2 linked regions of the Kluyveromyces lactis genome follow. Each later gene encodes a partner of the first gene's protein in a complex. Links are inferred from orthologs where the notes say so. Each region holds a gene or a part of one and is shown in the gene's direction. Other genes may lie near its edges.

Region 1 (2,821 bases):
ATCCATATTTTATTGATATCATACACTCACCAGACGTAACGAAATCCGCAAGCTTAATTCTTTTGGCAAGTTGCATGACAAGACTTGTATTATTACCGTTGGATCTCGTCAGAGTTAGGTTAATTATCTCTTCTGTTCGTAACGATGGTTCCCTTTCTGATAACGATAGATCCTTAAGAAAATTGTTGAGAAAATGGTCCTGGAGGGAAAACATATCCAAACTAAATAAGGAATTGGTCTTTTTGAATATATTATATTCCCTGGTAGGGACAGGATTTAGCAAATTAACCGGTGCAATACTATATCATCAGTTCAATGTTGACAAATTCACTAATGTGATTCTGTACAACACATTAAAGTTCTGCAGTAAAGTTTGTGAACTCTTCGTAAAGCTACCAATTGAGAATCTATTGAGAAGGAGTCAAGTGAAGTTCTTGTTCACAGAAAACCCATTCCAAGTACAATCTGAAATGTTAATCATAAAACCAAGGGAGTACCAATCCATCTACCTGACGGTATTCAAGCAGTGCGACAGAATTAGTGAACTATGGCGAGGCTGGAGACTCGGGCTTCTAAGCATTTTATGCGGTTATGGTTTGAAGATTTTAAATAAGCCATCAGAAATACTCGAAGAGGAGAAGTTTTAGTTCATGTAGATATCTATAAGTGAACTGGACATTGAAGGAAAACATACATATATAAAATAATAATAATAATACAGATGTCTTTAGTTTAAGAAAGTCGTAAATTCATATCTACGATGAAGGCTTCTGGTTCATTTCGCTTGCATCAATCAAGAACTGGCCTAATACTCGAAGTGGATCCTCGGGCTTTTCTCTGGCTATCAGTTTCATTCCTTCCAATAAATGTTTTGTTACATGTTCATTCAAATATCTTCTAGTGGTTGACCCACCGATCATCGCTACTGGATCAACACGATCATGATCAATTTGTAGTTCCTTCTTGGGTGATACTTCTCTTTCTGTTGTAGCTGCAGTTGCAGAGGTAACAGTTCCAGATGATTCCCTTGGTATACCCGATGGAGACAGGGGTTCAGTGGTAGAAATCGAAGAGACGCCAATATCCGGTACAATATGTTCTTCTTTCTCAAGTTTTACCACATCTTCAGGTGCCATATTCTCCATCACTGGTTCTGACATGTAGATAAGCTTCAGTTGTGGCAGGAGACCAGGATTGGAGCTTTATTCGGCCAAGTCTAGGTGTAGATCTGTCCATGTATATAGTCAAAACTCAGTGATTTTTCAAGATTGTCAATAATAAAAGGAAAATAATAACAAACTGAAATCTTAAACAAAGTTCACCAAGGCAGGTACAATTCGAGCTCCCCAAGAAACAGACCGCACTGAATCAGGTAATACCAATATTATATCAAAATTAACCACCAAAAGCAAAGAGGACAAAATGGATCCATTTATTCAGGTTTTCAAGGACACAGAGGAACAATTGAACCAATTATTGCAGATATTAGATAGGAAGAAGAAAGGGAGATCGAACACCAGTTCGAAAGAGATCTCGGAAATCATCTCTGAGGCTCAAGAGACTATCCAAGATCTAAATGAGAGTATAGAAATGATGAAACAGGAACAAGCTATTCCCGAATACGAAATTCAGACCCGTGAGAAGTCCATGGCAAACCTGGAATCAAAATTGAAACAATGCCAGTCGTTAAATATCGAGACAACCCGCGACACCGATGCAGCTACCCAATCATCATTGCTGCCGCAGCAACAACAGCGTGGCGATTCCTTCGATTTGGACATCGAGGCAACTGCAGGCACCGACCAATCAGACGCGGCAAACCACGACGCCGTACAGGAGCAATTACTCCGTGAACAAGACAATCAATTGGACATGATTCACCAGACAATGCAAAACATTCATCTACAGGCATCTACAATGGGTCAAGAACTAACAGAACAGGGCATGATTCTCGAAGAAATGGACGGAAATGTCGACGGAGTCATGAACAAACTTTCCAGAGGAAGACGACAACTAGAATGGGTCTACGAACACAACAAAGAACGTGTCAACGACTGCTGCATCTTTCTCTTAATCATTGCATTGATCATCCTACTAGTACTAGCATTCATTTTGTGATGTATATCACCGAATTTGAACCGGGAACCAAACAGAAACCAAAAAAGGAAGAAGACGATGCACATTCCCGAGTAACGAAAGGTGCGAAGTTTCCTAAGAGAAACTGACACAATTCTTGACCCCCCAGTTGACGGATCGTCATCGTCGTCGTTCCATTCCTCTGATAGACAAAATACCTCTCGACACTGTTGCGGTATGGAAAAAAATCGGAAATCACAACATACGACAGCGGCTTTGAAATCGTACCACAATGGAGCTTTCGAACTGATTTTTTTGTTGAAATATATAGAAAGTATGGAAACTGAGAAATGGAAAAGTATTAAGACCAAGTTAGTTTTTAAGGTACAAAAGCAAAAGGTTGCTTGCTGGATTGGGTTTTTTGCACGTCAAGCTACAGTGTCAGATCCAAGACTATCGAAGAGAGCGATTTCATTTAAGAGGCGAAGGGCACTAGGATTAGGACGGAGTTGATAATACTTACTGGCATTCATTCCCGGATTTTCTGTGTCTTGTAATTATCGTTTGTTTCCCGACTTTTTTTTTCTTTCTCTATTTAGGATTTATTCAGGCTCTTTTCTTTAGAATCGTTTTTGAAATTTTTGGCCTGCAAAAACCCTCTATATCTCTTCACTTGATTTAGACTAGCTGAAGGAATCAATACAATATTGGCAGCGGCGTGTGTGATATTTCACTATTTTGTTTA
Region 2 (2,611 bases), on another chromosome or scaffold:
TCAGATAAAGTACCACTTGGATTTTCATATTGATCATTTCCAGATGCAGAGGTGCCATTTATCCCTATAGCACCTCCAGCGGAGCTGCCATGCGTAGCGCTTGATCCAAAAATGTTACGCCATTTCTTCTTTTTGTGTCTCTGATGACCTGGTATAAGATCTGGGAGTGTACCCTCATAAGTCACAGGAACATTCATTCTTGCCGTAGTGTCATAAGAGATAGTGCCCTTGATAGGTGTGTCTTCATTTTCACTATGTTTATCATTCGAAAGAACGGAATCCTGGTCTATAAAAGCAGCTGGAGGCGCCTTACGCCCGGCCAACGTCCTAGTAGCAGTCCCAGTAGCAGTACTAGGTTTTCCATAAACGCTTTCCAAAGTTATCGAGTTTAATTTATCAGCAAGCGCCAGAGAATGAGTCGGTGAATTTTTGACTATTGACACTTTCGATGAGCTACGAGAAGATGACAACCCACCACCTGGAACGATTCGAATTGCATTAATGCTGCTATTACTCCGCGTCATACTCCCATTTGAGTTTCCAGCTGGAACCAAAACAATAGACTCATCACCACTAATTTCATTCTCCAATGCTACAGCCGCAGCTTGCTGCGATAACGCTGCATTACCTTCGACAGTCCGTGGGGAAACAGATAATCCGCCCATCGGTTTGCCCTTTAAACTAGATCTCGGACTTCTTCTAATAATGTTTATCGGAGTAGAAGTTGCAGAGGATGAAGAAGAGGACCTTGCCATAGCCTGGACGTTATGTGCCGGCGTACCATGCCCTGAATTGGGTAAAGATAGTTTTGTCCCTGGTGCATCCGATACTGCAAACCCTTGGCTCACAGTATGTTTCTTGAACATTGCCTGAGCAGCTTTCAGGGAAGCATCTTCACCCAATCGATCCTCATTCTTTCTATTGCTTTGTGTCACTATAACGTTCGGTTTATCCACTTGATGTCGGGATCTAAACCTCATCCCCGGTCTGTTGCGCCAAAATTCACAATCTCAGACCAAAAACAGAAGAGTTATTTAAGTATCAGATCCACTATTTGGTCATCCAATCGCTTCTCCTGTATCTGAGGGTGTTTCGTTGATCTGTTTGACATTTTCTCTGCAAACGTTGCGGGATGTACATAAATGTGTATATAAATACGTTTGATGGAACCTGTCTAGAAGCTAAACCCTTTAAAGAAACGGGAAAGATAAAGGTCACGTGATGTAGTCATGTGACCTGCTTTTTTTTTTTTTGAGTGCGTTCATCATACTTTAGACATTTCAGCTTGACATTAATTACCTTTGGACTAACCATTTTGAAGGTAGCCTTAACGGGTAATTGAATGTCTAGACGATACAGGACCCCAAGCCTACAGCCTGTTCAGTAATATTCAAGAGAGTTTGTGTTTCTTGGGACCATGGCAGAACAAATTACGCATAAAAAATCGTTGAAACGGGTAGATAATGAGAAGAGAAGGCTATTGAAAGAGTATTATCGACTACAAAAGGATAATAAGCCTGGAGAAACAACTGCTGAATCGGATAAGGCTGATACGAAGTCGCCATCGCCGTCAGTTTTACCTGGAGTAACAACGGGGTCGATACCAGCATCAGGTGCTGACATTGATTCTGGCGTGACCAGCGCTAATCTTGGCAATGTCGTTGCTTCTACACCCATTGAAAACTGCAAATCACCTCAAGATACAGAGCAAGAGATCCGGTTAGAACTGGAAAAGGGTGATATAGATGTAACAAAGAAGTCTTTGAAGCAGTTATTGCAAGTTCAAAATCTGCTCTTGGCAGAGGAAACTGAAGCAGACAATGCCATTAAGAATACTATATACGATAATTATTACGATTTGATTAAAGTGGATGAAATACTAAAAGAGATGACTCAGTTGGATGAATCCTTAGTGGAGCAACTGCGAGAAACGTGCAATATGGCTCGACCCATGTTGAAACAGTGACGGTATGCGCTGCATGTCGTATATTCTTTATTTCCCAGATCATCCTCGTCCTATCAACTATCATGATCTTTGTTCTTTCATAGATTTTGTATTATTACTACCAATATCATCTTTATCCTGCTCGTTATTAATATAAGGACCTGCAAAGATCCCGTCTTCAGCAGAGTCGCCATCGATTCCGTTTATTTCTATACCTACGGAACTGCTTGTGCTACCGACATCGTCATCATCGAATTCACCAGTACCATTGCCAAACCATTTAAATCTGCAGCACCATATGAAATGGGAAGCGAATATCCCGAGCTCTAACGCTGCGACGACAGCATACAATACAATTCCCATGATATCCATGTTCCCTACAATAACACTGGCAATGCTACACCATGCACCAAGTGAGTCAACAAACAAGAATATGAAATTTATGCCAACGACACGTCCCTGACGTTTCGCAAGCTCAAAATATGGTGGGATCAATCCTGCTGCAAGCAAAATAGTGGCAATGATTCCTATCACTAGCGCTGGCCAATGAGTACCATGATCATACACCGGTCTTAACCAAAGAGTAAACCCTATCTCAAAGCTGACAATGAATAATATCATGGGTAAAATACATCGAAGCAAGATCTTTTTCACAGAGAGACTGTA

What was found.
Region 2: the proteins of TLG1 (region 1) and VPS51 are in contact, whole or in part, in a crystal structure (PDB 2C5I), measured with the Saccharomyces cerevisiae proteins. The link is inferred for Kluyveromyces lactis from reciprocal best matches to the Saccharomyces cerevisiae genes TLG1 and VPS51. Residues at the interface, in NP_010756.3 of Saccharomyces cerevisiae: Pro7, Phe8, Gln10, Val11, Asp14, Glu17, Gln18, Arg21, Ile22, Tyr25, His29, Asp34, Gln37, Glu40, Ile41, Asp43, Ile44, Asp47, Glu50, Thr51, Asp54, Leu55, Arg57, Ser58, Val61, Arg64, Asp65; in NP_012945.1 of Saccharomyces cerevisiae: Lys9, Leu11, Arg12, Val13, Ser15, Leu16, Asp19, Arg20, Leu22, Leu23, Leu24, Glu26, Phe27, Leu30.

What each region holds. Positions count from the first base shown.
Region 1 is NC_006041.1:318,745-321,565, forward strand, and holds TLG1 (Tlg1p), read left to right. Parts: upstream 1-1,422; coding exon 1,423-2,118; downstream 2,119-2,821. Other genes in the region: mitofusin complex protein UGO1, read left to right, coding at 1-647; SDC1 (Sdc1p), read right to left, coding at 756-1,160.
Region 2 is NC_006040.1:186,719-189,329, reverse strand, and holds VPS51 (Vps51p), read left to right. Parts: upstream 1-1,417; coding exon 1,418-1,966; downstream 1,967-2,611. Other genes in the region: KLLA0_D02222g (uncharacterized protein), read right to left, coding at 1-980; ILT1 (Ilt1p), read right to left, coding at 2,027-2,611.